3 linked regions of the Xenopus tropicalis genome follow. The protein of the gene in region 3 binds, or shares a complex with, the protein of the main gene of each other region. Links are inferred from orthologs where the notes say so. Each region holds a gene or a part of one and is shown on either strand. Other genes may lie near its edges.

Region 1 (11,227 bases), on a different chromosome or scaffold from region 3:
CCCACCCACAGCCAAGATTCCAGTTCCTACAATGCCATTCATGCATCTTCGCAGGTTAATTAACTAGTTTTTGCTATAGTTCCTCTACAATAGCAATTACATTAACAACAATAAGACCATTGAATATTTACTTTATACTGGAATGTTGCAAAATGTACCATATGTATGTATATTTTTATTTATATAGCTCTACTTATTTATGCAGTGCCTGTACAGCAGAACAATAAATTCATAGAACAAACAGGGGGTCATTACAATAATAGATAAATATAAAATACAATAATAAATACAAAGTCCTGTTGCATTAAACATTCCACAGAGCTAAGTGTCAAAGAGACAAGAGGAAGAAGGTCCCTGTCCAGTAGAGCTTATAATCTAAATGGGAGGGTAACTTACAGACACAAATAGGAGGATGTTAAATGCTGCAGGTTCCAGTGGTTGGTGCTGCAATATAAGTGCCAGATCCCAGTTCCAGTGTTCTGCAAGTGTTTTAAGAGACAGAGGAAAGATTCTCTCTAAAGAAATTCAGTGATGGTGTTCCAAATGTAAGAAACAGCAAGGCATAAGGGTTTAAAGCAGTTTTACAGCAGTAATAGTGGGGGGGTGGGGGGTGGCTGTTGCTCTGAGAGGGGCAGAGGAGTTGCCAGGAATGTTTGAAGACACAGAAGAGATGTAGTGAGGTGCAGAGGAATGGAGTTTGTAAGTTATTCTTTGTTTTATGGGAAGCCATGATAAGGACTTCAGCAGTGGAGGGGGCTGTACCCTCTTGGACAAAAGGTGAAGGATTCTTGCAACAGGAATTAATACAGAACAGACTGTAGTGGGGAGTGATGCGCGTTCCATTTAGTAGCAGGTTGCAGTAGTCTAGTCAGGATAGGATAAGAGCATGCATGAGCATCGTAGCTGTTGCTTGTGAAAGAAAGGGACAGATTTTGACAATAATGCGTAAGAAAAAGTGATCAGTTTTGACAGTGGAGTTAACACAGCATGTTGCATTCTGTGCTTACATACACTTGTGTGAGTACACCGCCAATAGGAAAGAATAGACTCATGACGAGGTTGGCTATTAAATTCATCAAGGGTGTGTGTCTAACAAATAAACATCCCCATAAATTTTACATTTCTTTCTCTTTTAAATGAGCCTGCCTTTTGTTTTCTTGTTTGAAATCCTATTTAAATGGCAAAGTTAAGCTCTCCTCCTGTGTCCTTGTAGGATGAGCTAATGCTGCACTGCATAGGCCTAGCAATAAAGTCTCCGAAGAGACCCATTATGTGACCTTGAATAAAAATATCACATCCTCTTGTAGGCATCCAGTAACCTCAGTGTGAGGAAATATAATAATGTCTCAAACAGGAAGATCAGCATTTCATTGTCGGCAAGACTGTCTGCAAGGAAAGACACAACATCTAATATTAAAAGGAAACTAAAGTCCTAAAACATATTCCACTCAATGCCCACCCACGTCCATCTCATAACACAAGCACTTACACAAGTCACAAGCTGGTTTTAGAAAATCAGCATATTGTCAATGCATCTTATACAAATCACTTACCAAAACCCAGCTCATCCCTTTAAAATCAGGCACTTTTTAAAATTAATATTATTTTTTATTACAGCTCTGACATAAGGCACAGTGCTTTCTAGAGATACATATATATCATTTACATCAGTTCCTGTCCCAGTGGAGCTTACAGCCTAAAATTTCTACCACACTAGGGTTGTTTTCAGCAGGAACCAATTAACTCACATCCTGAATTAAGTGTTTAATTTATTTAGCTGCATACCTCAGATTGCACTGGTCTCTTTGCACCTCTGCTATGGGCATATAAAGTAGTTGCTATTTAGCCATTCAGCATGTGAAGTTCATGTGTCCAGGCTTAATGAAGTGGCAACCATACTGGTAAGACCAATTCACAAAAAGTGCTGTTATCCTAAATCTAAATCAAATGTATTTTATGCTGGTTTCAGATTTTAACCCTATCTTATGCAAATAATTTTTATGTCAAAAGGTGTTTTGAATTTAACTTCCATTTTGATATTATTAACGTGAGATCCAAAAAACTTACATCAAGTTGTACCAAAGTGAACAAAAATGCTGCCTTTCCAAGGTATTGTGACTATAATATACATTTTATGACATGTTATTTTATTAAAGGATGAGTGAAGGGTTAATAACTGGAGGGTGCCAAATGGACAGGCTCCCCCCAGTCAGTGTTGTAACTACATGGCACCAGGTCCCCCTGCCCACTCACAGGTAGAACAGCTGGGGAGGAGGATTTCTACACAACTACAGAGAAAGCAGACCCTGCAGTCTGTGCCTCCCTGCAACCACAGGGTCGTTTTCCTGCCCCAGTGATTATAATCTCTTTAGCAAACATAAAGTCAAAACTTAGCACAAAATTATCTCTACTGTATATGCACACCACCCAGGGCAGCTGCTAGTGATCCTTAGGACTAAAGACAAGATGGAGGTACAGTGTTTAATATAATAGCAACCCGCAATGGTGCAATATACCCCATTATACCAGGTGTTTTGATCACTACTGCAGGCAGCGCCAATCAATACCTGGTTCTCAATGCAATTGATTTCCATTTGAGAGCAAACTAAATAGTAGAAGGTTGCCCTGTACAAGTGATGATCACTCAAACACAGAGCAGTCTATGTTGGGCAATAACCAATAATCCCTATGTACTATATTGAGCCAAATGCACAGCTGAGAGAGAGACAGATTTCTTAAAGGCTAATTTTCCTAAATGAGACACTGCTATTATCTGGCATTACCCTTTTCACTACAGTTAGAGTCAAAATGCACTGTCAGCATGTTGTGTATCAGTTGTCCAGCTTTTTAATGGTTTGCAGAAAGAAAGCAGAGCAGAAAAAGTTAATTAAAGTAATGAACATTTGTAACAAGTTCTTCCTTCCAGATTTTAGGCAAAGTATACGTAACGCATGTAAGATGCAGATGTGTGTACTTACCCCCCCTTCTTTTCACTGTTACCCAAATTAATAAAAACCATATTGAGAAAAAAAAATTATACGTAACCAAAGACTAAAGGGAGCATGACGAGATTTTATTTTAATTTTGGCAAACATTGATGGCTGTATAAATTATAACACATGCTTATTTTATTGACCTAACGCCTAAAAAAAGATTTTTTTACAGGTGACACAGAAGGTAGATTCTATCAGCCTGATTAGGTAAAACAAATAATTAAGGTAATGGTAATAATTACACGCCCACAGTGCAAAGTATGTGTATGAGCTATAAATAGAAGCTTACTAAACTGATCTGCAGTAACTAGTGTTATCTAACAGGTTGCTGTGCTGTAGATATTGCACTTTGTCACACAGAGTGTGCTCTGCTGCTCTCTGCCTATGTTTTTTAGGGCTATGAAATGTGGTGCTACTTGTAGCCAGCTACTTGTCACAGCTACAAAACACCGGAATACCCTACCATAGACACAGGCCCGGGCCTAGGGCGGCATAAATTTTGGGGTGGCATGCCGCCCAACCGGACTTGAATTTACTCACATACGGAGAACTGGGGACGGGACGCAGCAAAAACTTCAGTACATCCCATCCCCATTGCTCCATGTGCACGGTGTACGGATGCGCGATCCTGGGGGGGTGGAGAATGGGGGTGGTCTGAAAGGCAAATCCAGCGTTACAAAGACAATATTGAGAACTGTCTCTGCCAGGGACCCACCAAAAAACCTTAAACCATAGGCCCACTCTTCAAACTATTTTCCCCCCCTTTGCTCAATCAACCTCTTTATTCTCCTAGTCTTTTTTATTTACATGCTAGCATCTATTTTTCCATCTATTTCTCACCTTTGTTCCCATTCAAAAATAGGAAATGGCCATGAAGTAGACCAAATGATCAGGAGCTGGAGGGCCCACTGACACCTCGGCCCACCGGGAGTTTTCCGGGTATCCTGGTGGGCCAGTCCGACACTGGTCTCTGCTAAAACACATAGAGACAATTGCCAGTATTGTCTATTTCATAGCTGCAACATATAGTAGCTCTGTGTGTCATTGCCTTTAGGCAGGCAGAGAGAAGCTTATCCAGTCTCTTCTGCAGCTCAAGCAAATGCTGTACTTGTCAGTAAAGAGACATGGAGCTGAGGAAGAGAGTAGATCCACTTCTCTCCTCCTGCCTAAAAAGCACAAGCTGAGAGCAGTGGAGCCAACACTCTGGCATACACCGGAAGATCTGCTCAATTGGAATTATTTGCCCAATTTGGAAATCCAAGTGGTGGGCCAAATTAGGCTGAGGCTGTTGTTGGTATGACCCATAATTAGTTATTGATTAGGGAGACAAATGGAATTGTATATATGTATCAGATAGTGGGTGGTAACCAGAGTCAGACTGGGTTGTGTGGGCCAACAAGAGCTGGCATCCCAGGGGCCCCTGCTGCCCACACACACCCTGCCCTTCCCCCAAAGTGCACATATCTGATACTTACCTAGGCGAGATCAGGGGGGGGGGGTGCCAGTGGGGATCAAGTCTGGGTTGATGGGACCCAGTGTTCTGCCAGCCCAGTCCAACCATGGTGAAAATTACAGCTGAAATGCTGAACCTATGGGCTGTCAGTGGACAAAGTTCACCTTCAAGCCCAGTAGTCCCAAAAATGTCGACCAAGTAGACATTATGAAGGAGCAGGTGAGGCAGTCTATGCCTAACTAAAGAGATAGGAGACCCTGAACATGCTCTTGGGCCAAGAAAGTACAGTATACGGAGCCTAGTGGGTCACTAAGCCCTTTTTTCAATAAATCTTTGCAAATAATGTCTTATTTTTGCATTTGCGAGAGAGCCCTAAAAAATTGTCATGTTGACCAGTAACATAACCGATCCAGTTCTAGCATTTTAAGACTACAACCAACTTTACAAAAAAATGGTAAGGGATAGTCTTCCCAATGCCAGGACTGGATCACTATGTCCCCGTTGCCATGGCGTCAGAAAAGATCTCGAGAGAGTCTGTGATCTTTGGAATTCCACAAAGCACTTCTAGCTAGCACCAACTAAATAGCAGGTTGAACTACCATTTACCAAACACTGGTTGTAGTACTGTACTGGACTGAAGCCGGAGAAGTTCCCCTTTTTTCTCTATAATCCGTATAGCGCCGTCCCACCCAATTAGCGCTCAGTTTGCGCAGTAAGAAAGGGATTGCTCAGAGACTGAGGGTGCGTGAGTGCGCTGGCACTTATCTGATAGGGGCTGAGCTTTGCACAGGGTTGGGCTGCACATTTACCTCACGTTACTCAATCCTTCGCTTCTCCCTTACAGGCAGTTTGTATGACTCCCACTCAGTTATGTTTTATCACTCGTACAGCAGCTGCCAGGCCTGTGCCCAACCGCCTCAGGTCGCTGTGGGGAAACCTACCTTCCCACCTGCTATCGCATCACTTACCCCTTTCTTGGCTTTTGGTCAGTCCTCAATCCTCTTTCGCTTTATAGAGCCCACTTGTCCTCAATCCTCTTTCGCTTTATAGAGCCCACTTGTCCTCATTTTCAAACTTCCCTCTCTCCCCACCTCCCTCTCCTCCCCAAACAATGATGACACGGTCCCGGTAGGAGGGTTAGAGGGAGGCGGTTGCCCAGCCCCTGCACCGGACTCTGCCTGCCCGGCCGTGCGATGAAGAGCAGCCTGCGGTGCCGAGCCGCCCGGTGATGGAGCTGCTGCCCGTATGGCACAGGCCAGCAGTAGTAGCAGTACCGGGGGGGTCCCGGGGGGAAGCGGGGAGCTGTCCTTGGAGGAAGTGCTGAAATCCTACGAACAGCCGATCAATGAGGAGCAGGCGTGGGCCGTGTGTTACCAATGTTCCCGGGGGCTGCTTGGGCAGCCTTGGCCACCGAGGGGCAGAATTCGGGATCCCTCTTGTCTTCTACTGCACAGGGATGGGGCAATCACCGTTCTACCGGAGACCCAGGGCACGGCGGGTGAGTGGCATTCTGTATGGTGTTCTGTCTTCCTGTGGCGAAGAGCTTGCACTTTAGTGGCACAAAGGGAGAACTATTACGTTATTTGCTTATAACGAATCCTATACATAACGCTTGTAAGGCCAGTAGTAAGAAATGGCACGGTGTGTGGAGGGTTTGGGGCTGAGCATTGGCGCAAACTCGGGGGAAGATAGAGTTACACGGACTGAGTAGTAGAGAGAAACGTTACAGGCACGCAAAGTACCGGGATGAGTAACTTGTGTGCGCACCACAAACATGCAGATGTGTGACACTTTGCCATAAGCGCATCTTTCATGCCTGACTCAGTGTTCCACTGCCCCATGGATATCCCATTCACCCTTATAATAACCTTGCTTGCAAGCCTTTCTGTGTGTGTGGCACGCCTTGGGCACTCCTGGCTTGGGAAAGGCATGTTAAAAATGTAGCAGCTAAGGAAAACAACCATGGGAGATAAAATGCGACCTGGGAAGAAATTTCTCATTTCTGTACCAACTCCTTCCTATAGTACCCCCTACCAAGGCTTTTGGCACCTGTCTGTCCAATTCTTTATATAGAAAACCACCTAAACCCAACATGCTGGGTGCTCCCTAGGCTGAGAGCCAGCACCTGCCTGTGGGAAAAGGCTGGGCAAGCTGCACACAGGTGGAATGTGTATGTAATGCTGTGAGGACTCACCTTCAGCTTTATAACATATTGGCACTGGCTCTGGAACATGTTGTAAGCACCTTAATATTTTGTAAGACTTACCTGAATCTTCAAGCCAAATAGCTGAATTGTCATGCTTTTGACTATTGTTTACATTATGCAGCACAGGCCTGTCAGTAGCATCATGCCAGGAGTGAGCCAGCAGGCCTGTCAGTAGCATCATGCCAGGAGTGAGCCCCAGCTGCCCCCATTGCATTGCAGAGCGCACACAGCACCCTGGCCTCAGTGCATGTCACGGTATTTTGATAGCATAGTAAATCTGTATGTGGGATGTTTATGATATCACTCCCAAGAACATAATAAAGCAATCCTACCTTGCAGTGGAGTAACTAAAATTTCTCAAGCCCCTAGTGCAAAATAATTTGAGGGCACCTCAAATATTGGAATTGCTTGTTGTTCAGTGCCCCACTAGCCCTCTGTATCTCATGGGTACCCCAGCATTTGTAAAGCCCAGTTCTTCCTGGGATTTGTTATTTATGATAGCTACAGCTTAGATGTCTTTGACATAGATACATTCAAATTCACATTTTGAGCCAAATGTGATCCTGCATAGATTAAAGGGATTCCATTCTGCTTTTCACTCCCCTGATCCATTGTATGTATAGTGGAACCAGTTCTGTTTTTAGAGCTGCCTTTTAGAAGCATACTGAGAAAACCTTTACATTTAAGTTATAAGGCCGGATGAACTGGGGCAGAAATAGCATTACATAATGTCAGTTAAAAAAATTTTATGGTTAACTTCAAAAACACATATGATCTTAGCTGGGTAGTTGGCAACAGACAAGAAAAGAGGATTAGTTCTTTCACAGGCTGTAAAGTTGTTTTTGTTGGCATCGTCATAACCAGACATAGAAGTAACAGCATTGACTTTAATCACCAGACTTGCTTTGTTAATGCAAGCCAGCATAATTAGCCCATTATCTTAAAACAGTGTTTTGAAAACAGAAACCTTATTTTTCATTTTCCGCTACTCTATTGTTTGCTTTCACTGTAATCAATATTTTGATATTAGATATAAATAGTATTTTTCACATATTATAAACAAAAATTTTCATTTACTGTCTCGCTAATAGTGTTTAATATTTCCAGCTGACTCATCTAATCATATAATATATATATATATATATATATATATATATATATATATATATATATATATATATATATATATATATAATCTCATTATATAATAATAAATCAATAAATGAATGGAGAGCAGTCCTGTCACACTACTGTGGATCTGGTTTCACTGACTCCCGACAAAGATGGGGGACCGAAACTTTGAGCAAAATAAACCTTTGTAAAATTGATTCAGAATATTCTGTTCCGTGTCATTCTTCTGCATTGTGTTTATATACACACATAGATATACATATAATATTTTATTACTGGAACAAGGGCAGCGCTCCTAGGATTTAAAGAATTGCGAGCAGAATGGAAATGCAAAAATAGAAAAGTTTATTACTCGACGTTTCAGTCTCACACTGTGAGTGAAAAAAAAAATATATATTCTTAGATACCAAATCACAGTTTCAGTAAACAAACAAATCTGAGGTGTGGATCATTATTGTTAATGGGCTGCTGAACCTATAGGTTGGCGCAGTAATTTCATTCTAAAAAAAAAAAATGGCATTTCTAGCCATATACATTTTTAGGGTTTAGTTTTCCTTTTAATGATGACTTGGTGGCTGACTTTCTGTGTATGCCAGTTGTGATGGCTAAAGCCTAGCATATGTTGGTGCAGGGCTGGAGGTGAAAATCTTTAGCACCAAGTGTAGCAATATATTGATTGGTTGCAGAAATTTTCCTCTACTTTTCAAACTGCCAGCATGCTGGCATGCTGGCATGTAACCGTAGAGTTCTTCGATAGTCTGATCATTGTATCAAAGTTCAACCTTTTATCGTGAATAATGCATACATGTGTGTATTTAAGTTCATCATTTTGCCAATCTGTGAAACTAAAACTTTCCATGCCCTGAGGCAAACCTTGGCATTGTGAAGGACAAATAAGGTAAGGTAACAAAATCAGTAAGCAATTTAAATTGTCAGGTACTACAGGAGTTATTTAACTAAATAGACAGGCATACTGACAATATTAGAAAGAAAAAATCGCCCTCAGCACCCAATATCCAAGGGATAATTTATTCAAAAGTGCGTATTGTTTAGAAAACTGTGTGGCCTGGTTAGGAAGTTATGTTGCTGTCGTAGACATTCTCCTATGCATGTGTGCAGCAAACCACTACCTAAGCCACGTTACACCTGCAAGGTCAGGTGGGTGCTAAAAAGCCACTGTGTGAAGTATAATTGCCATGGTGTTGTCAAAAAAGTGACATGACTATGATTGTTAGTTTCCCTTTGAAAGAAAATCTGCTGTGTTCTTATCAACAAAATGATTATTGTAGCCAGAGAAGGTGCAAGGAAACTGGCAACACTGCAAAATGCAATGTACAGATTAGATGTAATTCTAAAATATGAGCAAATATCAGGAAGACTTGCACTCAGTGGGGCACACATATCCTATATGAGCTGCATTAGTGGCTGGCAGTCCCATAATCTGCCATTCTGACTTCAGATTATAATTCATAATTAGAGTGATGTACTTGAGCTTCTAGCATCAAAGCATTGGCATGAATCTTATTTAAAATACACTTTACTCAAATTATTTTTTCTTTTGTTGTAGAATGTGATGTACTGAAGCACCATATGATAGTCATTACTGTTGATTCAAACTTTCTGTTTGTCCATTTAGATACTTTATATTGGGGTGACTTGGTGTGTAATACATTGGTTGGTTGGTTGTTTATGGGACATGTTGCTGATATTCATAGTTTGGACCCTTAAATCCATTGAAAGCTAAGCATAATGCTTCACTGTATAATTACATTCTTGACAACTCTGTGGCAACAGTTTGGTAAAAGCTCTTTCCTGTTTCAGGAGAACAGAACTTGACTGGTCTGCAAAAACTCTAACTTTATTACAACTGATCACCTTTGGATTGGATTGCAATGCTAACTGTGAGCCAGGCCTGATCTATATCACTAGATTTTTATTTCTATTTATGAATTAATTTTCTTTCCAGACACTATCCTAAACCAAATCACACATACAGTGCTTTTTAGGGTTGACACCTTTTCTGCTTGTCTTTTTTCATATATATTTTTTTTTTTACACATTAATATTGGCAGGGATTATTTTCTGACCTTCACATAATGCACTCAAAGCCAATCTGGCCATGATTTGTTCCTTGCTGCCTGTCCTCATTTCTTTTTAGCACTTTCCCACTCGTGCTGTAATGCACACTAGACCTTCTCTCTGGAGATTCCTTTAGTGTTGCTGGATCCCTTTGTGCTCATAACTTCTTATTACTACGCTGCTCTCCTTTTTCAGTGCTCTCTGTCTTGCTGCCTTAGCATGACATCATCCAGAAACACGTGCATATAGACTATGCTAATGGAGATTTATTACATACTTCTGATTAATTTATGTCTTCAGACACATGTCTTTGTGTGAGTTACAGGGCAATTAGTGCATTGTAAGCTAACATGCAATTTCATTTAATAAGATGTCTTAACCTACCTGCCCACATCTTCCTGTTAATGAATGCTAGGAATGACACATTCCCCAATAGGATACATGTCTTTGAAAAGTATGTTCTAATCATTGGATAGATGAGTGACCCCTTACAGCTCATCATAAAGATATTACAAGTTATTGATTGGGGTATGTAGGCCTGGGGCTGCAGGAAATTGCTCTTGCAGCATATTCTCTGTCTGGCAGACCCAGTCTCTTCAGTTCCTATAAATTCTGAGCATCTAGAATTTCATGCAGAGAAAGCTTTTCCTGTTTAGCACTAAGGTTTCATGGAATAATGCAGAAGTTGACACATTTGCAACAACAGCTAGGCTCAGTACCTAAACATCATGTCTTTGTATATATACAGTGTTTGTTAATATACTGAAAGCATTCACCCTGGCTCTCATGGTGATTTGTGTTTTTGATATGAAAGTCTTGTGGTATAAAAAGGAAATTTTATTGAGCAGACTTATATTAAACAGGATTAAATAAAGCAGAAGTTTAGTATCAAATTGACACTAACAGTCCAAAGCAATAACATTTTGTTTCATAATTTCTTTTGTTCTGTAGTTGGCATTAAAGGCTGCTTCATTGCTAGCCTCACCTATCTGTTAAAAAAAAATGTTAATTTGTCTGTATAGATAAGCAATACAATAGATAATATAAATCTAGCCATCTCATTTTCTTTTTTTTGTAAGTTGCAATTTTTATTGCTTTGTTGTAAAGTTAACAAGGCATATTAAGACCGTCCACACAATTGTTCATACGTCATCATTAGTGAAAAAAAATAGCAGAGAACATAAGAAAAAAAAAAGGTATTACTGGGAAGAAAAAGGAGAAAAATACCATAGGAGTACTTGGCTGTGGCTATATGGGGTGCATAAGTTTGTGGTTAAACTTAATGTGAAAGTAATTCCCAAGGGGACTATACTATAAGATATTGGGGCGGCGGTTTATTCTGTAACCGGGCCAAACCATATTCAA
Region 2 (11,349 bases), on a different chromosome or scaffold from region 3:
AATATATAAAGTCTGGAGGGGAGGGAACTAAATAGCCAGAACACAACTTAATCTCTAACCTGTTAGTCAGTCGGCCAATAGAATGGGGACCACATGGTACATTGCTGCTCAGTTAGTTTGTTTTTGGTCCTGACCTGTGTGCTTAGCAAACTAACTAAACAATTATGTTCCATGTGGCCCCTCTTTAAGTTGGAGAGCATATCCAATGGGTGTGTATGGTTCTATTCACAGATTCTATTCCCACAGTGCAACTGGGTAGGTTTCCACTCACACCAAACCAGGATTCGGCCAAACATTTTTAAGCAGAAATCACACAATCCAAGTGCCTGAACCTCTAAATATCACATGACTTTTCACCACGCATTTAAGAAAATTGCTAAATTGCTCATTTCTTCCCATACACTGTGCATGCACGGATCTTTTTCCTGTTACAGGGCACACCTTTGCATATGCAAATTAAGGTTCAGGATTTGGCCAAATCCTGCATGAACAATTTATTATTTACCCTAACCCCTAAAATAAGGATTTAGTGCATCCGTAATTAAAAGGAAGTTCATCATTAATTCACAACCAGTTCTTGAGTGGTTAATCTGACTTACTCTGGGCCACATTAAAATAAAAGCTTAATAAACACTGGACTAATCAAAATCTATACTGGAATACCAGGTATGACTGTGTTAACATTTATAGAACAAAACTGATATATTGGAATATTTTTGCTTTACAAAAGGGTTAGGCAGGGAAGATGTGGACTACAAATAAAGAAAGAAGTGGAGATTTAAGCTTGTGGGACAGGTTTCTATTCCGCCACAGGCCAAGTCAGTTATAATAATGTAAACAAGGTAAACCAAGGATAGCTAGAAGGAAGGGTTATATGTTGCAGAACATGACCTATGAAGGCCATTAATCAGTTACGGGGTAGCACATTTTATTATTATAATCCTTTATTTAAATGGCGCCAACACATTATACAGAAGTTAATTTAAGGTTAAGTCAAGTCCTTGTCCTGATGCCTCATAAAATATATTAATAAAGGTGTCCATCCAGGTCATGAAAAAAACAAAGCAACAAAATGGGTGTTGACTTTCCGCATCCATTGCACTTAATCGATCTTCAGTCATTGCCATTTTGTGCATGATAAGAGAAAATCAGGAAATATTCCGCCACATTCCTCACACAGGTGACCACTTACTTGGGGTTCATCCGGCTGCATCTTCTTCCTAACTAAATTTTGTATCAGTCAGTTTAGTATATTTTGCCTTCCTTTTGGTTTTGGCATAGTGATATCACCGCCTTGTGTTTGCTGCATGTTACAAGAGGAACCTTGTTTTGATCATTTTGAATAATGGTTACATGGTTTCCAGATTTACAGTACTTGAATCTATCGCATTGAACTTCAGAGATATTCTGGTATTCTGAGTGATTATACCAGATGTGTTGGTGGAAGTCTGGGGGTCATCTAATATATTTCTGCTCTGGCAGAAATATATTCAAAACAGTATGCAAGTAACTATGATTAACACAGAAGGCATTGGATATGGTGTGTGGCATATGGTGTGTGGTATTGGATATGGTGTGGGGCATTCAAAATTATTTAAATTATTAGTGCAAGGCTTGAAAACCATGTACCCTCCTCTGGAATCTCAGCACCTACACTCTCTAATATGGCCCTGTTGCCTGTAGAGTATTAATAAATGGCAAATTAACATAATGGGTTGGTGGGTGCAATGTCCATGGTCACTTCAACGAACAACTTTAAATATAAATACATATTTGTGTGTATGTGTGTGATTTGCTTTTTCTCAGTTTTATATTTTTTTGTGTAACAATAATTTCACATTTGTAAATCTGCCCTGAAGTGTTACATATCCAGCAGACAAGCTGCACATTCCTTTTTCTACCACTAGATGGCGAGAAGTCTTCATATCTTCCATTGCTTAGAGCAGTGATCTCCAACCAGTGGCTCATGAGCAACATGCTGCTTACCGACCTCTTGGATGTTGCTCCTAATGGCCTCAAAGCAGGTGCTTATTTTTGAATTTCTGGCTAGGAGTCAAGCTTTGATTGCATAAAAACCCAGTGTAATTGCCAAACAAAGCCTTATGTAGGCTGCCAGTCAACACAGGGGCTATCACATAGCCAATTATAGCTCTTATTGGCTCCTCCAAGAACATTTTTCATGCTTATTGGCTCCTCCAAAACATTTTCCCATTTGTATGTGGCTCACTGGTATAAAAGGTTGGGTATCCCTGGTTTAAAGTGATCCCCAACCAGTGGTTCGGGAGCAACATGTTGCTCACCAACCCCTTGGATGTTGCTCCCAGAGTCCTCAAAGCAGGTTTTATTTTTTAATTCCTGGGTGGCACGTTTTGGTTGAATAAAATCAAAATGTACTACTGTACTAACAAAGCCTTCTGTAAGCTGTGATTCTGTATAGAGGCTACCAAACAGCCAATCACAGCCCTTATTTGGCACCTCCCTGAAACTTTCTATGATGGTTGTATTGCTCCCCAAGTCGTTTTACATTTGACTCTGGCTCACGAGTAAGAAAGGTTGGGGACCCCTGTTGTAGTATGTTTGTGGTTAATCAAATGAACATATACCTTCCACAGCAGTGTTGCTTTATCCAAATGTTAATTGACTACAACAAGCAAGCAAGAGAATCACCAGTTCCACTAAACACAAGAGCTCACAACATTTAATAACAGTGTCATATTGGCAGATGTGGATTATTACTAAATGGGGCCCCAGGCAGGATAGTGCTTTTGAGGCCCCCACCTAAAACTATAGTGTAAAAAGTAGCCTACTACCCGCTCACACTCCACCCACTCCACCTCACTTTACCTCCTTCCACCTTAGACTCACCCTGTATATCCAAAACTGGAGGCAACACAGCCTGATACGATGAGAAGGGAAGTGATGTGATTGGATTTGTGATCAGCTGCATCAGATCCACACCATTCATATTTTACAGTTTTGGGGACTAGGTCAGGTCACCTAACATGTAATCTGGCCCTGCACATTGGCAAGCAAAACCAAAGGTAATTTTCAGTATGTTATGTACAGAACTGGGTGAAGTACCCCAGTAATGATGAATTTCAATAAGGGACATGATAATACAGCAGTAGAATCTATTTTACTGTTTTAGATACTCTTGTGGGGTCATTTACATTTACCCGGTGCCTAATGCAGGTCCTACTCTATTCAAGGCACTTGCCGCAGGTCTCTGTGCTCAAAGTGGAACATTTTCTGTGAGACCCAGTAATTCTTTTTACACCACTGCCTATTTTAGCACAGATACTCAATACCTGGTCTGACACAGCCAACACAGCTTGTACAAATGATAATATAGATTATAATATCTGTACGATTGAAAGCTTCTACACCCACATTTTCAGCAGGAGATGGGCACATCACACACACATTACACAGATTTGGGTGATGAAGCTTCATGCAAGGGAAGTGAGTGACAGTCTCTGCCTGCCTGTGGGTTAATGACTGGAAGGGTTAGTGAGTTCTCCCTGCACTTAGGGTAGAGATGTATCAAGCCTCTGAGCACTGTAAGGACATATAAAGAATTGGAGTGGCTTGCACAAATAGTGTGATATTTCAAAGGACCTGGAGCAGGGGCCCTATCCCTTCCTGATTCATGAATATGTTGTGTTTCCCCAACTACAGATCTAGATGTGTGCCCTTGCTGTGCCCAGCCCTGTGCTCATGTGATGTCTGAGACTGATTATCAGAGGGTACTGCAGCTACCCCCAGGCTTTGGGAGGAGGAACATGTGACACAGGGCAGGGCAGTAACCCTCCCTTCACATAAGTACACTCTCTCACTAGACAGCAGGCCAGCCCAGGCATTCTTGCAGCAGCCAGCGAACAGGTAACTCATTCCTTGGGACAGGGCAGGCTTCACCCATTGCTGTGTATTCTGTGTGCTACAGTATAGTACTAATATTAATGCAAAGCTTCTTACTGGTGTTGGATGGTGTTGGTGACAGGCAGGCTCATCAAGGCTCATCAAGGTTGGTGTTTACTATGCAGAATGGTGTATATTTATTGTTATTATCTATTATTTATTGGTAGTTGGCACAAAGCAAAGTACAGAATGAACAGGAATATAATACAGTGATCAATTGTCGCATTACAAGGAAAACAAACTTTAAGTGCATTATAAGGAGGAGGTCTCTGCACCAAAGATCTTACAGTCTAGCAAATAGTAGTTTTGTGTGCAGACCCAGAGGCTGCCAATGTGTTCTAAAGATGATTGTTTTGATAATCAGAGTGAATAAACTCACCTTAAATACCAGGTGGGGATCTGCTGTTTATCATTAAAATGATTTAATAATGTGTGAATCTACCCTTTCTGCTCATTGCTGCTTAAACCTTGAATTGTTTGGTTTCTGGTATATGTGGGAGTGTTTATATTAGGGCAGTGTATGGAGCTGTTTCTACTGATTGCATTGCCCTCATGCTACAGCTACCTTGTGTGCTGCTCCACAAAAGCAAGTCGGTGATATATACATGCTCTATAAGGGCTGTAATATACAAAAGTGTCTTTTGACAAATTATACAAAGCAGAAATCTAGCTGACATGGGCTAAATCCCCTCTCATCCACAACGGCCTCCGTGGATCGAAAATATATCCCATGATCCCACAATACACCTGCCCAAGCAGCACTTACATTGGATGTAAAGGCTAAAATAACATTTGGGCCAATGACATAAATACTAAGCAACTTTCCAATATACATTAATCACACATTTTTAGTGGTTTAAAACTTATTTGTGTCTTTAAACAGTAAAGCAGAAGCCAGGTGACTGTGAGACTACTTTTACTTTGTTTCAAGAGACTGAAACAGCAGTGGTGAAAGGAACAAAATAAAAATACTGTATTTACATTTCCAAAATAACTTTAAAAACTATGTCACTTTGTACTTACTATATATTGGAAATTTGCTAAAAATTCTATTTTCAATAAGGCACGATTTACATTTTGGGCATAAATCCCCTTAAATGAAAGAGCTTGCACAGAATTTAGCACAGTGCAGTACTCTGGCATAACAATTATTATTAATCATGGTTTCTCTTTTTATGTATCAGTGAAGGCATTTTGGTCAGTGCCCTGTAGAACTATAATATAAGATATTGTGATATTTTCTGTGCCTGCCTTTGGTTAAGATGCTGATGTGTACCTTCCTCACTACAATCCAGCTTTATGGCAGAGTATATGAAACTTACCTTGTTCGGACAGCAGTCGGCAATGTGATATTATTGTGCCCATAAAGGGTTAAAACATTGCTTTTTGTCAGTTACTTTGCCCCTTGTTTATCTGGCACCTTGTAACAAAGCTCACTTTAGAAAAAACATGTTTATACTTTATATATAAATACAAAGAATTTAGATTTCACTTGATGTTTAGACTATATCGTATTGGTACTGCTGTGATGCACAAGTGCTAGCAAGGCCCCCATCTCTAGGGCACATTGGTCCAAGCAGCAGTTTTAATTGTGTATTGGGTACAATCAGGATAGATATCCCTCTGTATTCAAAAACAATAAATATATTAAGATATATCTGCAAATAGGCACCAAAGCTGTTGCCTGGGACCCTGAAGTTCCATTTGAATCCAGTTTGTTTAACCATTATTACATCACATTACAAGATGCCACTGGGCGCTTTAAATAAAAATGTGTTAATCTTCCGACTTGATCTTCACAACCGTCACAGCCATTTAGTCATGAGATTCTCAGAAAAACAACCAGAATCAGCCACCATGTACAGATCACTCCGTACCACTTGATTTAGACCTGAAGGCTCTGCTTCTAATCAATTGTTCATCTATCCCAATTTATGCCTCCCACAAAACATTCACAGAAGTTCCAGATCCTGCTGTTTCGGCTACATTGTTACGGGCACAGTTTAACTAAAGGGAACAGAAACTCTTTTTAAGTATCACTTATTCATTGTCTGTTGAAGAAATAGTAAAATAATTGGGTTTATCTTACTGTGTTCCACTGAACTGACAAGAAAAATATCCCAAGGATACAGGGCTGCTCCAGCCATAAAGCAAGGTGAGCATTTTACCTCTGGCGGCAGGGAGGGGCCAGTAACCAAGGGCAGGAAAAAGCTGCCTCTGGTAACTTTAAAGGGGTTGTTCACCTTTGAGTTAACTTTTAGTTCGATGTAGAGAGTAATATTTTGAGACAATTTGCAATTGGTCTTTTATTTTTCATGATTTGTAGTTTTTTTAATCATTTCTGTTCAGAAGCTCTCCACTTTGGAATTTCAGCATCTATCTGGTACCTAGGTTCCAAATTACCTTAGCAACCAGGGAGTGGTCTGAATGAGAGACTGGTATTCAAATAACATAGGATGTGAATAGAAAAAAAACTTGTAGAAAGTAACAATAATAATTAAACTGGAGCCTCACAGAGCAATATATTTCTGGCTGCTGGGGTCAGTGACCCCCATTTGAAAGCTACAAAGAGCTAGAAGGAGAAGGCAAATCATTAAAAGAACTAAATAAATTAATAATAATGATCAGTTGAAAAGATGCTTAGAATTGGCCATTTTATAACATACTAAAAATGAACTTTTAGTATGTAACAACAAAATATGTGGAGGATAAACACTATTGCCCTTTTATGTCAATTCTATAGATTCCACTTGAAAATGGCCCTCACAGCTGGAACTTTGTACTCTTCTTACTGGGTGTAACAGGAAATAATCAATAGCCCAAAGGAATGTAAATATTCAAGAGGTGGGCACGTTGCCATTTTCTTAAAATATCCAGTTTTGCTGCAATCTAACCCCAAGCTATGGCTTATAGTTACAGTTAGCTTCACAGCCAAGTTCCCATGAGTTTGCTGTTTGTTTATACATTTTAAGGCTTTTCTATCCTTTATGTGACTTAACCAGAAGTACCAACATCTGACAAAAATGCCTCTATGTCTGTGCCTCACTCTGAAATAGTTACCCACACAAATAATATGATCAGACATTAAAACACATGAATATTATAATTATTAGCATGCACAACTGGTCCTTTCCTATGATTCCTGTATCATTGCTATGTTATTCTTGTCAGCGCCCATGGCACAACCCTGCAGCCTAGTGTATTCTGTTGTTTTATGGGCAGGTAGAGCAAAAGTCAGTTCTAACTGGCAGCTCAATAGTTCTTTAAAAAGTATATACAGATCACTAGAAAAAAGAGCTGTTAATAACAAAAAGTCATTTTAAAATGTAAGAGGGCATGTACACAAGTGGAACCTTCGCTTAACACATTTCATGGCCTCTTGCCACTCCCTCAGAAGTATCAAGTGTTGGTTCCACTTGTGTACTTGCACTCTTACATTTTAAAACGACTGAATAAAAATGACTTTTTTATTAACAGCTCTTTTTTCTAGTGATCTGTATATACATTTTTACAGGACTAGTTTGATGCCTTCTGGGAACCGGCTATGACCAGTAAGTGCTCCCATGAATTAACGAATACTAACTGGCAGCTCAACCATATACCAATAAGCATGTGTTTTGTTGTGCATGGATTTCCTAAACTAATCTATTTGGCACAGTTTTATAAGCTTATTTTAAATATCATATTCTTTCCTTGAGATCATCATATGTTTTCTTTATGTACATATTACAGACACCACTCAATATGATTATCCACATTAGCTACTGATCTAATGCAATAACTTTTTATGGCTCCCAAATCTTAGTGCATTTGTTTCTCATTTATGGACTGTGCATCATTCTGGGCTGTGAATTGACACTTAAGCTGTGTTGTATTCTGTCATATTAGAGATGGGGATATACAGGGTTTTGGTTGCTCTGTCTCTGATATCACTTTATATACCCGTTGTACAATGTATATATAAATATATAATTTAGAGATCCAAGAAATATTAAGCATTGATATGGCCAAGACCATACTTAGCCATATCAAATCTTGCAGGCCCTGGTTCCCCGCTTAGTCCCATTAGTCCAGCAATGTTAGAGCTGGGCCAAATCTTAGCAACACCGAAGGCAACCCCTCTCATTAATCCCCCCCCCTCCAGGTTACAGTGAAGTGGTAAGTGGGAGGGGGCTTTGTGGCAATGAGCAGGATTGGCAATGCGATGTGCCACCATCACTATTAAGCATTGCATCACTGCTCCCCCTGCCAGCTGACTGCAGAAAGTTAAAGAAAGCCTATCCAGGGATAGAGGCAGAAGAGATATTTGCCTAGTGCTACCCTTCTGTTGCACCCTAGGTATGTGCCACCTATGCCCACTCCTAGTTCCCTGAGCAATTTAGACAAAAGGGTTTGTTGTTTGAAATAATTAGGGCAAAGGAACAAGTTTAAATGTGAGAGGAGGGGGCACCCAAGTTGTGTCATCACATCCAACTTGTGGTAGGGGCAGTAATGCACTCTGCACCTCATGCCAGATAAAAAAGTCCCAAATGAGGTACAGAGCCCAGCATTGGCAGGGTGTTGTTACCTTATGTTATAGGACAGGTGGTAAGTACAGGGCCCTGTTGCATACTGCTTCTGCCCTAACTTGGGCATCTGAATGGAATGCTTTGCACTCCTGCCCCTCACCAGTACACATTGCTTTATTCATAGATGTGGTCACAAGCCTCCATTTTGGAACAATTTATTTAGCCAGGAAGGCAAGTTGCCCTTTTTTTTTAACTTTGCACCCTACGTGGTAAATTACCCTACGTTTACACCCTCTGCTGTAACTGTTTTTTAAGCAGAAATGCAATATGCAGGGGGATTATCTGTGCACTGGTAATGTAATGACCTACCTCTCGGACCAAACAGGAGAAGCTTCAGTTTCCCTCATTGCCCTGTTTAGCTCAAGAAATAACAAAAAACATAGATTGTCAATTATTTAAACAATAGGCAAAGCATGTATAGCACAAGCCCTATTTGTTGCACTTATATTGAACTAGGGAATATACTGTTCCTTTAAGAAGAGAGAGGAGTAACAATTGGTAAGAGATTACAGGAAAAGGCTGCCAGCCGCAATAGGATGTGTATAATGCACTGGGAGTTGCCAAAAGCTCAGTAATTAGCTACCAGTTATAATCAAGCAAAGCAAACAGTGAACAGGTGCCTAAGTAAACACTGTATTGAATCCTGTATGTACCTGCAGGCGGGATGGAAAGAATGATTCTGAGAGGTGAGAACCAGTGCATGGGCAAGGGCAACTCTAAACTGCGCATTACACTGATATATGTGTATGTAACCCCAGCTGTATAAAATATAAGGATATTTGAACTTAACAAAGAGTTCCACAACTCCAGCACAATAACTTCAAATTTGCTCATATTTTGCAATGGGGGTACATTATTATTTTTAATACAAAGGTTTCAAATGAAAATAGTCACTAGGATCTGAATAGCCATGGACTCCCACCTGTTCTGTTAGTTGGCAGATGCTGGGCATTTGTTATCCCTATTTTATCAGTACAGCCAATCAATGCTAAAAGTGAGAAGGCCTAGGGAAGGGTACCCGGAATATATGGTAGTAAAATGTACATTTAGGGCTGTGACACATGAGGAGATTAGTCGCTCGCAATTAATCTCCTCTAGCAGTTTCCTCGCTGCTTCTTGATGCGACTTCGGGCGACTTCGGGAAATTGTAGGGACGTGTATGCCATCCCACTGGTGATTTACATTTTTGCCAGTAGGATGGCGTTGCAGGGAAATTATTCGCCTGTGGTAACGAAGATTTGTTATGGGGCAACTAATCTCCCCGTGTGCCACTGCCCTAAATGCCAGAAAATACCCTGCATAGACAATACTAAGAATTGCCACTGCACACGTAGAGACATGTATCAGTAAATGATCAGCACTGTCTATTTTTGTAGCCGTGACAAGTAGCTCTGTGTGTCTTCGCCCTAAATGTTGCCACTGCTTGTGTCTGCAGCAAGCAAAGCGAACTGTGTCTTATCAGCCAACATACTTACAGGAATCTTTGTGGGCAGGCCAGTAAGATAAGCAAGCACAGACAGTAAGCTGCTTACACAAAAAACAGATATGGCAAGTAGGCTGTAAGATCTTCTGGGCGGGGCCTATTCTCTTCTTTTATTGTTATTGGTTGTTTTTGTATGTTCAATGTATATACCCATTTACAGGTTTGGACTGGGGTGTGTGAGGCCCATTTGGACACAGGGGCCCCCACACCCCCTCAGGGGCCACCAACCTCCCACTCACCCACCACCAGCCCCTTCCCCACTCCACAAGTGTACCTTATACTTTGCCATGATCAAGGAGGAAGGGCTGTGATGGCAACCGGTGGGATCAGGTCTGGGTTAGCGGGGTCCATTGTGTTTTTTCTGCCGGCCCATTCCGACCCTGCCTATTTATTGTATAGTGCTAATAATTATAATTATAATAATTAGAATTGAACACCATAACTTTTTTCTTTACATTTTTAAAGTAAGGTCCATTCTGTTAGGGTTACCAAATTACATGAAATCCAGGGACATGTCTAATAAATGTGTGTTGCAGGAATGCACTGTGAAATTAAATTGCAATCAGTGCAGCTCTTCTAGCTGTTTTTTTAAGTGATCTGGTAATGATATTCTGTGTCTAATTGGTTAGCTCTTATATATGTGCTTCTGTCAAAAGCTATATACTGTGCTCCCTGAAGCGAGGCATGTTGTTCAAGAATGTGCTGATTTGGATCATATGGTTTAGTAAAGACAAAAGAGCAGGAGCTCTCATCCTCCAGTTCATAGAAGTTCTGTTAGTTCCAGGCTGCATTGCAGTTGTCTAGCTGTGCGCTTGTGACCATAAAGAACAGTGATATAAGTCTGCATTTGCTTAAATAGCCCAGCATCACCTCAAGGCATGAAGTTCACTGTGATCTGGAAAAATGTATGAATGAGCGCAGCAAATCTGGATTGACAATAAGAGCATTGATAGAGGCAGACCTAAAGGGAAATGGTCTATCTTCAGACATCAGCCCCCTGCAGTATGATAATCAGCTGACTGCTCCAGTCACATATTACTATGCACAACTGCTCTCACGCTTATTATGGGATGTTACCTCCCTAGATACATGCAGTAATAAGTTATCCTTAAATGGGACACTAAAATGCGTTGCTTACTTTAAAAGCATGTGATAACTTTCATTTTTTTATTAAGGACTCTAATAAATTCAGTTTGCGTGGTTGAACTGCTTGCAAAAGGATGGAATTCATAATAATATAATCTTTAACTTTATTTAATATTATAATAATTAAATCTTACATATGTATAAGTTACATTAACAAAATCAAAAAAGAACACAAGTTAGTAAGTGGCTATGGGATGAGAACTGGATTTATGGTATATTACGCAAAGGCTACTT
Region 3 (10,800 bases):
ATAGTTTTTCATTATTTGCCACCTTCTAACGTTTTGCAGCTGTCAAATGGGGGTCACTGACCCCGGAAGCCAAAAACCGATTGCTCTGTGAGGCTACAGTTTTACTGTTATTGGTACTTTTTATTAACTATTTTTCTATTCAGGTCCTCCCGTATTTATACACCAGTCTCTCTGTTGCAAAGGTAATTTGGACCCTAGCAACCAGATAGCTGCTGAAACATCAAATTAAAGAGCTACTAAACAAAAATGTTGAATTGTGAAAACAATTGAATCACTACAAATAATAAAAACATGAGCAATCACAAATTGTTTCAGAATATTATTCTCTGCATCATATTAAAAGTTAACGGTGAACAACACCTTTAACAGTGTCACACCCTTCAACTGTGTACCCTTGAAATGGAAGAAACCTACTGATATTAGCTAAGTAACAATGAGCTAAACCACTGCATTAGTATATCAGAATACCGTACACGTCAGCCAGTGTATTGAATTCTCCAGCCCCAATGTGGCAATCATTGCATTAAACTTGCTTTTCTTTTCAGGTAGAGTACCAGTGTGAAGGTTTTCTGGAAAAGAACAAAGATACAGTGTTTGAAGAACAAATTAAAGTGCTGAAAGCAAGTAAGGTTGGTATTGAAAAATATTTTATTCTGTATTTGGGGGCCAGGGCTGACATTCAGTTTGTGCATATTTTGGATTTTTTATCTTTATTGGTAAGGGTACAGTACAGGTATGGGATCCCTTATCCGGAAACCCCTTATCCAGAAAGCTCCGAATTTCGGAAAGCCTGTCTTCCATAGACTCCATTTTAATCAAGTAATCAGAATTTTAAAAACAGTACCTTGTAATTGATTCCAACTAAGATATAAATAATCCTTATTGGATGCAAAACAATCTTATTGGGTTTAATTAATGTTTTATTGATTTTTTAGTAGACTTAAGGTATGGAGTTCCAAATTACGAAAAGACCCCTTATCCGGAATACCCTTGGTCCCGAGCATTCTGGATAACGGGTCCTATACCTGTATTACTTTTTGGGAAGAAAACGCCACTCATAATATGACTGTTAACTGTATGCCTTCTTATTATGGATCCTTGTATTTTATCTCCCCTTTATTTCACTGGCTCTCAAGTAGGTCATAACACTGTATTTCATAGCATTCTATGGCTCAGAAGTATTTCAAGACACAGAGACAGCTCCAAGCCCCACACAGACATAATAATTTATTCTTATGTGTGATTTATATTATGGACACTCTGGAGGGAGGCAGCTGGTGTTGTCAGATATGCCAGTGTGCGTGTGCCCCCATGGGCACAGGTCCTGATTTGACCTAACATATTCAGTTGGCCTAAGGCCAGCCCTAAATGCAAGTACCTATCATCCTGGGGTCAACAACTCTCTCTTCTTCTTCACCCCAGTCTTAAAATGTAGCATAATAGTTATCTGTATGCAGCAGAATATATATACATATATACGTTGGATGAAGGATGCAAGAGTTCTGGAGTGTCACAGTTTACTAACAACTGATCTAGATTTATGTTATGGACTTATGCTAATTCTGGCACAGTGTAATTCTTATAATTCTCATATTTTACCAAAAATAATAGTACTTTTTAAGTATTGTAGCTGGTAAGTCTTATTCACTTTTTTTTCTGTTCCCCATATCCCCTTCAACACATGGTCATCAGAAGGTAAAATCTTTTAAGCAAGCTTCCCTAATAAATGGCTGCTTTCCTGTAGCAGGCCCACAGTACTTTGCTTCTAATTGCATGGCATGGGGCAATTGGGAGGGTTGGAACCATCAACATCATGACACGATTAAATTCTGCAGTGTCCCTGGGATTATCTATAGAGCAGTACAGGCAATAAAGCCTGAACTTAAAATATAGTAGAATTGTTAGCTGGATGTGACAGAATGTATCTAGGTTGGATGAAGGATGCAAGAGCTTTGGGGTATCACAGTTTGCCAGTAACTGTTGTATATTTGTGTTATGGGCATAAAATATTGTTATTCTAATGTCTATAGATATTGTTATTGTGGCCCAGTTCTAATATAACTTTAATAGTGTTTTTTAAATATTGTAGCTGGTATGTCTTATTCTTTTTTTTTCTCCTCCATATTCCATTCAAACATGCTCATCAGAAGGTAAAAACTCTTGACAAGCTTCCCTAATAAATGGCTGCTTTCCTGTAGCAGGCCCATAATACTTTGCTTCTAATTGCATGGCGTGGCGATGTAGGGAGGGTTTGAACTATCAACAGCATGGTACATGCCACCGGAATAGATCAAGTTCTTCAGTGTCCTAGGGGTTTCAGTAAAGCAGCAATGTTACCTATTTAAATCCTGCTAAGTGTATTTTCTATGTTTGTAATACATCGACAAACTAGGTACTTGGCTCTCTGTGGCCGGTCCTAGGAACTAGAAGTGCTTCATTTTATTTTTACCTTGCACGTCTGAAAATCTGTTTCTTTCCGCTTTACTAGTTTGTGTGCCAGTTGGGCTCACCTGTTACATTGTTGCTTGTGTATAGTAGTGTGAAATAGGGAGCCCCATTGTTGTTACTAAATGCATTGTGCAGGAGAATTACTACTGTATATAAAATTGCCCACCTAACTGACCATACCTCACCATGTATCATTTGCATGGGTTTGTTTATGCGCAAGTGCAATCTCTTGTGATTTCTACATACAGAATAATAAGCCTGCCAACCAGATACAACTTTAAAGTAGCAGACAGGAGAAAGACCGCATTAAACGGATAACAGCAGCGCCTCTTGTAGGCAGGAATGGATCTCTTGACAACATTCCACTGATATGCAGAGAATAAATGTTCTTAGTAATGTCCTGGAACTATATTGCCCACAATATTTAAGGGGAAAAATAAATGATAAAAACAAACAATAAAAGGATAAGACAATATACAACAGTATTTATATTCCTACATATTTATTCTTAATGAAGTATAATTCCTCCCTAGTTTACACTGCTAACAGAACTGTTCCAAGAAGAGGAGCAGATCTTGAGCCCTACATCTTCTGCACCACCCTCAGGCCGTACTCTGCTATCCCGCACTGGTCTGCGTTCCCTCAAGCCCAAGCCTGAACAGACAAGCAAGGAGCATAAAAAAACTGTAGGACATCAGGTAATATGACAAAACGATATCTAGTACAACTCTTGCCCGCAGTTTGATGTCTAAATAGATCCAGTGTCTGCTCTGATTACTGACACTGTCTTTCGTTTCTGTTGCAGTTCAGAAATTCCCTTCACCTTCTGATGGAGACTCTCAATGCCACAACTCCACATTATGTCCGTTGCATTAAGCCAAATGACTTCAAGTACCCGTTCACGTATGTAAACTGTGTGTGCTTATAATCCATTGGATGTATGTAACAATGAGTTGCTGCACTGTTTATATATGGTTCTCTATAATAACATTTAGAACCGGAAATTTCATTTATTGTGTTACATTGGTAGAGAATAGTATCTTACTAGAATGGGTCATTTTTTAACTAAACAGTGGGGATATTACAGCTACTCCACATTAGAGATCCCCTGTGTACAAAACGGTCACAACAAAGGTTGGAGGGAGGGGCTTGTATACTGGTAATCTAAGAAACACAACTGGAGTAGCTTTATTGTGCCTGTTTAGCTCAAGAAATAAAAAACAATGATTTCTGGTGATAAGTAAAAAAAGGGAAAAATTTGCTCAGCAAATGACATGAGTCATTGAACTCATGTTAAACATGGGGGTGCACTGCCTCTTTAATTCTAAACTAAGTCTTATGTTATAAAAATGACTCTTAGCAATTATTCTGAGTAGGAAAATGTTGACCTAATGTGGCTAAGAAAAAGCATCTGGACAGGTGACATTTAGAGGAGTGACCTAGTTTTTCTGCCTACTTGTGCAGATCTTACTTCAGTGTACACTACATTCTGTACTAGAATATATAAGAAAAGACATGCTTATTTACTAATTTGTTTTTTAATGTAATTTTTAAATCCCTGTTGTAGATTTGACTCTAAACGAGCAGTGCAGCAGCTTAGGGCTTGTGGCGTCCTGGAAACCATCCGAATCAGTGCTGCTGGATTTCCTTCTAGGTATGCCCCCCATTTTCCATTTCCACATTGTAATGTGCCATAATGTAATACTTCTAGTTCATTTAATGGATAGATATGTGCTACACAGAGCTTAACTGTTCAAGCCACTAATAAGTTCCTTATTTTTCATGTCATAGGTGGACATATCAGGAATTTTTTAGCAGATATCGTGTTTTAATGAAGCAAAAAGATGTCCTCAGTGATAGGAAGCAAACCTGCAAAAATGTTCTGGAGAAGCTTATTTTGGTACGTCAAACTTCTTATAAAAATATATATTTTTTAATAGAGCTTGTAGTTATAATCATTTTAGGCCTGAGTCTTCAGCACAGTTTTTCCATGTGCAATATGCCATACCATATGCAACAAAGTTTGACTGTGTGAATCTAGGTCATTAGCAGTAAACTCTCTATGGAGTGGATTAGTAGATGTGTGGCAAATTGGACACAACACACATATTAAAAGAACGAAATGCAGTACTATTGAATCAGATTTATATCAATCTAAAATCAATCATAGAGCATTATTTGCATCCTTTATGACCTGTATTTGGTTGATGTAGAGCATTAATTCAAGCAACAGCTGTTGTCTAAACTATTGCTTACAAAATCTATTTCAAGGTTTAGTCTCTCTGTCAGCCTCTCAATGATGCCACAATGATAATCTGCAATATTTTGCTGATAGCATTGGGCAGCAAGACATTTTTACAGCTTGACTGCACACTGGAATCATTATCAGAGGTGCAAGAGGTGAATTATTCTGTTACAGAAACTAAACATACAGAGCTAAACTAAAGCAGCCATGAATAGCATGTGGTAAATCATTTACTGAAACCTGTGTGTTATTAAAAGTAATACACTTCTGATCAGTGGCATAGCTAGATGTTATTGGGCCCGATGGCAAATTTAATTTAGGGCCCCAACATATTGGCAATTTGACCTGTTGTACCAAGATATACTGAAATTGCTTATTAATTAGGGCTTCCCATGGTTCCCTATACTCCTGGGCTCCCCTGCAGCTGCAGGTTCTGCTTCCTCTGTAATTAAAATACAGATGTTCAATATGACCTACTTGGTGATTTTCCAGTACAGGTATGGGATCCGTGATCCAGAAAGCTCTCTCTCCCATATACTCCATTTTAATTAAAAAAAAATGATTTTTAAAAACGATTTCCCTTTTCTCCGTAATAATAAAACCCAGCAGGCATAAAATGCTTACATGCAAAAAATGGATGATTTCCTTTCGCATACAAACATTAAATTTAAAAAATATTCTGTGGACTAATCTACTGATTCATCTAGTTACTGTATGAATTTATCTGTGGCCCCCACAGAGTTTGGATTGAACTGCTTGTAATTTTCCCTTGTTCTTCTGAATTTTTTAAATTGACTTTAGAACAGGTATTATCCCATTTTAGTTTCTCTTTCTCACAACCAATTCATGTGTTGGGTTTCTATTGGTAACAGGATAAGGATAAGTACCAGTTTGGTAAGACAAAGATTTTTTTCCGTGCTGGCCAAGTGGCCTATCTGGAGAAGATCCGAGCAGACAAGCTGAGAATGGCCTGTATCAGGATCCAGAAGACAATCCGAGGATGGCTTTTGAGGAAGAAATACTTGCGCATGAGGAAAGCAGCCATAACAATCCAGCGCTACGTCAGAGGATACCAGGCACGATGGTAAGTGAGGCCCCAGAAGCTGCATTGGTTCATAAATTCTGTTTTACATATTGTGCAATATTGGTGTTGGCTTTAATGAACATGGAGGAAATATAGTTTTGTGGTTTTGAAGTAGAACTTAGGGGGGTGTAGAGTGTTTACTTTTTCTGCAATTAAAACCTGACGTTTAGCAGAGCCCAAGCAGAGGGTAGATTGTTATGCACATGGCCTAGCACACCCAGCAATCCTGAGTGAATCTCACTAAAGGCTGTATAGCTCTCCCAACATTTAACTGCCTTTGCATATACATCCCTTCCATCCCTACTTTGTACAATGTATTTTGAACCAACCAATGCTACTTCAGGTACTTTTTCACCTTTTTGCTTTTGCAACTGCCTTTGCACAATTAGGGGCAGATTTACCAAAATGTGAGTTTAGAACTTAATACATAAAAACTCACCCATGTTCTATTCATTCACATTTTCATACATCTGCCCCTTCATCTCAGAATAGGAAATCAATTCTACTGCTTAGGTACCTGCCTAGAGCCCAACAGTAAAGGGTACATGATGTAGAATTAAGTTTGTAGTGGGACTATAACTGACCTAGAGGTTAAAGTAATACTATCATGGAAAACGTGCTTTGAAAAAAGCAAATCAGTTAATAGAGCTTCTCCAGCAGAAAGCACAAGCAGATTTTTTATATTTCATTTTAAAATTTTACATGGCTACCCATATTCTTCACAGCCATGTGACCTGTGCTCTGATAAACTTCAGTCACACTTTACTGCTGAGCTGCAACTTGGAGTAATATCTCCCCCAACCCAGCAGCCGATCGGCAGAACAATGGGAAGGGAGCAAGATAGCAACTCCCAGTAGATATCAGAATAGCACTCAGTAGTAAGAAAGTCCGGCTTTGGATTCCTTCAGTTACATGGGAGAAGGAGAAACAATAGGTTACCTGAAAGCAGTTCTAATGTGTAGCGCTGGCTCCTTCTGAAAGCTCAGACTCGGGCACAATGCACTGACATGGCTGCCTACACACCAATATCACAGCTAAAACAGAACATTTGAAATGATAGAGTGAATTATTTTCCATGGAAACAGTGTAATTTAGAAGTAAACTGTAAAAATCATGAAAGTATCCATTTAAGTAATCAACCTTTGATGTCGGATCTCGTACTAGAGACTCTAGTTCAATTTCCTGTGGCAGCTCCTTGTGACCTTCAAAAAGTACTGTACTGGCATACTTAAAGTACCTAATAGTGGGGGCCTTGCTTGCTATAAAGTTTTTTGAGTCCCATAGGAGAAAACCGTTATATACACTATTAACTTATACCTTACATCAGCTGAATTAGAAAATATAGGACTGGGTCTGTTATTTACAACACAAACAAGCAGCCAAGGAAAACCAACACATTTCAAACTGAATGAGCAGGTAATTGTTGACTTTGGCAACAGCAGCTATTAGTATGAGTCTTTTTTTCAGTTATTGGCATGTTTTTATTTATTACAATTCTGCTTATTTCTTTCTTACTTTATGTATTCAGTTATGCACAGTTTCTGCGTAGAACACAGGCCGCGATTATTATCCAGAAATTCCAAAGGATGTATGTCGTTCGGCAAAAGTACCGTCATATGCAGTCCATTACCCTTGCTCTCCAGTCGTATATGCGTGGTTATGCAGCCAGGAAGAGATTTCAGGGGGTAAGAGATTATTCAAATATAGTAAAAATGACTCCCGTAAAACCCACCTAAACTCAGTCATATATAGGCATATTAATGAGGCTGTGTAAATAAAATTCACAGAAAAAACGGTAAAAAGGCTGAGTAAAATAAAAGGCAAATGTATCGAGGTGGGTTTTATTTTACACTGTCCAAACCCCAGGTTTGATACCGTTATTTTACACTGCTTTAGACCTTGTGTAGGTAAGTTTGGGCGGAAGCCACTTTAAGAAATAAAATGCATAAAAAAGCTATTCCGATTTTTATAATAAATCTGCCCCATGACCCTGACACTCTTTCTGGCCTTAATGGGAATCTATCTCTTCATTTTCTCTTCATGCAGTAGTTGGAGTCAGGTTTGGATCGACAGTTAGCTCTAATACATCCTTTGGGGGGGATTGCGCCCTTTGCCTAGAAGTATTAGAGCTCACTCTTTCAAAATAACTGGCTTTTGCAGAAATTCTGTTTCTCTACATGCAGGATTTGTACCGAAGTCGGTTATTTTATATGTGCTGGAGTTAGTGATTTGGGTTAGCTAGGAAAGGAAGCCCATATACGATGTATTAGACCAATCAAAATCTGACCCCAACTTCTGCATGAAGGGAGAATGAAGAAAGACAGGTTGATGAGAGGGGGATAGTGAAGAGTAACTTGATTATTTCAGAAATGGCACAGATTATATTTAAAATGTTCTATTTTTAATTTTCACAATAGTTCCCCTTTAAAGACAATTATCTATATAATCAGTGCTGTGTTTATTTAAAAATATAAAAACATTATTCCCTATCCTAGTCTTTTATTACCCTCTCTTACCTGCTGCCACAATGATAGGGGAAGGTACAATTTTTAATGAAGTCATAGAGGCTGTGCACTTCTATAAATGGTTTGTCCTCATGATTAGGATGTACAGTGCAGCTAAGACTCCATTGTACATTTCCCAAATGTGCAACTAAATCCACTTAGGTTAAAGTAAGTTGACATTTTTATTTCAAATCACAACTGAAAACCTACTATAAATAGTAGTAGCACTGGTATGGTCGCCCTGCTGCAACTGCACTTGCTAGCATAATCAGCACAACTAGCCTTTTTTGCTCAATGTGCCTACTGTAAAGAACAGTGACCTCACCCATTAAGTACTTTTCTATAACTTTTATTTCCCATTTTTTTTTTAAATCCTTTGAAGACATTCTGAAAGTGCTCCTTCCTACATCCTTACAGTGCTTTGTATCAAGAACACCAATGCCTTTCATAGTGGTGACTATCAATTACAAATGAAACACATTATCTCTATATTATCAATCACATATTAATTCAAGATTTTTCTCTCAAATCGAGATTTGCAATGTTGTCCTTTCCAAATACTCCAAGTAAAATTTGTAACCTAATATATTGTATATCGGTAATATTGTACTGGCAACTATTGGGTTTATGTAATAAAAGGCACTAAGTTTACCCAGGAGCATAAACCCATAGCAAACAATCAGTAGGTAGCATTTACAGGTCATCTCTAAATCTCATTGGTTACTATGTGTTACTGCTCTTGGGCAAACTTAGTGCCTTTCATTGCATAACCCTATATGTCTCTAAAGCTGGCCATAAATGCGATGATATAATAGTACAAAACAAGTAAGTTTCACAAGATTTTTGGGCCCTGTGTGGGGGTTTTGAATAATTGTACCATGGTGATTGGTCGTTTAGTTGATCAGACAGGTTAGAACATTTCTGTTGGATAGCAATAATACATATTGTTATATTTTTAATGTTGTCCTTTTTCTGGTGCTGTTACCAGTACTATAGCAGCTGCTACAATTTTTGTCTGTTAATACATGGCCAGAACATTGTCTAATTTGTTATTTTTCCAACTTTAATCCTAAAGTTAAAAGCTGACTGGTTAGTTTGATGTTGTTGCATTAAAATGTACAATCAATATCCAAATGTTTGTCATACAACAACTAAAATCTGAACATGCATGGCCAGCTTTAGATGCAGTTGGCCATAGTTTAGAAACATTATGCTTTTAGTACAGAACACAGATATATGTAGTTTCAAATAAGTGTTAAAAAGGCAAATCACATTTTTGTTCAGTATACTGAATTCTAATTGTCATTAGTAAATAAATCCTTTAACTCTATTAATGTATTGTTTCTCTTTGCAGATGCTTAGAGCACACAAAGCTACCATCATCCAGAAGCATGTGCGCGGCTGGTTAGCCCGTGTCACTTATAAGAGAAATTTGAGTGCTATTGTGTACCTGCAGTGTTGTTACCGCAGGATGATGGCCAAAAGGGAGCTGAAGAAGTTAAAGATAGAGGCACGCTCAGTGGAACACTACAAGAAACTCAACAATGGGATGGAAAACAAGATCATGCAGTTGCAGCGTAAAGTTGATGAGCAGGTACTATATCATTTATATGTTCTTGTGAACATCAGCAGAACACATACATGCTCAACTAACCTATAATTTGACAACTATTTTTAAATGAGTTTGAAATATGGCTGATCTACAATTTCAGGCTAAAATATATTTACGTAAAACTAAAAATACCATTTTACAAAGGAAGTCTTTGTGGTCTCTGACTCCTCTGTATATTTACAGAATAAAGACAACAAATCCTTGCTGGAGAGGCTAACACACCTGGAGGTCACGTACAATACTGAAAAAGATAAGCTGAGAAGCGACGTCGACAGACTGCGCCATTTTGAAGAGGAGGCCAAAAATGCAGCAAACAGGATGGTCAGCTTGCAGGACGAGCTTGCCAGGCTTAGGAAAGAGCTGCAGCAAACACAGACGGAAAAGAACAAGATTGAGGAACGGGCAGAGAAGTACCAGACCGAGACTGAAAAGGTAGGAACTGATAAGATACTTAGTGCCACTGCATGAAATAAAAATTAAATGACTCCTTTAAGGATTGTGCTACTGCAGTCAGCTTATATGTTTAACAATTATAGCATACAGTATTACAGTTACTTCAGCCCATTACCCAAAGATTGGTGATGTATGTCAAATGATTTGTCTCTCTTTGCAATACATTTTCAAAGGAAGGCATTAAAAATACTTTCGAATTGTGATAATGCTTGTTTTCTCATGATGGAGACCTTATTAAATTGGGCCAGAACACGCACTACCTGTGGGAGTATCAGTTATTTGTTCCCTAGCAATCCTTTCAAAGTTTGGTAACTCCAACAATACCTATTAAGCAGTGGCAACAGAATCTAAAGGCCACCTTTTTTTTTTTAGTTTCTGAATTCCATTATTAGCTGAAACCACCTGACATTTGCTATTGCTTTGTAGCTGGTTGCTGAGCTGAGAGAACAGAATG

Evidence for each region.
Region 1: the proteins of myo5a (region 3) and spire2 are in contact, whole or in part, in a crystal structure (PDB 5JCY), measured with the Homo sapiens proteins. The link is inferred for Xenopus tropicalis from reciprocal best matches to the Homo sapiens genes MYO5A and SPIRE2. Residues at the interface, in NP_001369276.1 of Homo sapiens: Asp1551, Val1554, Arg1555, Thr1559, Ile1562, Asn1563, Lys1566, Ser1597, Gly1598, Leu1615, Thr1616, Asn1617, Phe1618, Asp1619, Leu1620, Ala1621, Glu1622, Tyr1623, Val1626, Asp1629, Leu1630, Gln1633; in NP_115827.1 of Homo sapiens: Arg404, Pro405, Arg406, Val407, Leu408, Leu409, Lys410, Ala411, Pro412, Thr413, Leu414, Met417, Glu418, Met420.
Region 2: the proteins of myo5a (region 3) and mlph are in contact, whole or in part, in a crystal structure (PDB 4KP3), measured with the Mus musculus proteins. The link is inferred for Xenopus tropicalis from reciprocal best matches to the Homo sapiens genes MYO5A and MLPH. Residues at the interface, in NP_034994.2 of Mus musculus: Asp1524, Val1527, Arg1528, Leu1531, Thr1532, Ile1535, Asn1536, Lys1539, Ser1570, Gly1571, Leu1588, Thr1589, Asn1590, Phe1591, Asp1592, Leu1593, Ala1594, Glu1595, Tyr1596, Val1599; in NP_443748.2 of Mus musculus: Lys184, Lys186, Arg187, Leu188, Leu189, Ser190, Phe191, Arg192, Asp195, Phe196, Glu197.

The regions. Positions count from the first base shown.
Region 1 is NC_030680.2:59,440,932-59,452,158, reverse strand, and holds the start of spire2 (protein spire homolog 2), read left to right. Parts: upstream 1-5,665; 5' UTR 5,666-5,691; coding exon 5,692-5,944; intron 5,945-11,227. UniProt on the Homo sapiens protein: Acts as an actin nucleation factor, remains associated with the slow-growing pointed end of the new filament.
Region 2 is NC_030685.2:60,402,158-60,413,506, forward strand, and holds the start of mlph (melanophilin), read left to right. Parts: upstream 1-3,817; 5' UTR 3,818-3,882; intron 3,883-11,349. UniProt on the Homo sapiens protein: Rab effector protein involved in melanosome transport. Serves as link between melanosome-bound RAB27A and the motor protein MYO5A.
Region 3 is NC_030679.2:101,942,184-101,952,983, forward strand, and holds part of myo5a (unconventional myosin-Va), read left to right. Parts: intron 1-545; coding exon 546-629; intron 630-1,692; coding exon 1,693-1,695; intron 1,696-2,147; coding exon 2,148-2,150; intron 2,151-2,981; coding exon 2,982-3,146; intron 3,147-3,253; coding exon 3,254-3,351; intron 3,352-4,015; coding exon 4,016-4,102; intron 4,103-4,239; coding exon 4,240-4,348; intron 4,349-5,565; coding exon 5,566-5,777; intron 5,778-7,305; coding exon 7,306-7,462; intron 7,463-9,635; coding exon 9,636-9,875; intron 9,876-10,076; coding exon 10,077-10,325; intron 10,326-10,772; coding exon 10,773-10,800. UniProt on the Homo sapiens protein: Processive actin-based motor that can move in large steps approximating the 36-nm pseudo-repeat of the actin filament. Can hydrolyze ATP in the presence of actin, which is essential for its function as a motor protein. Involved in melanosome transport.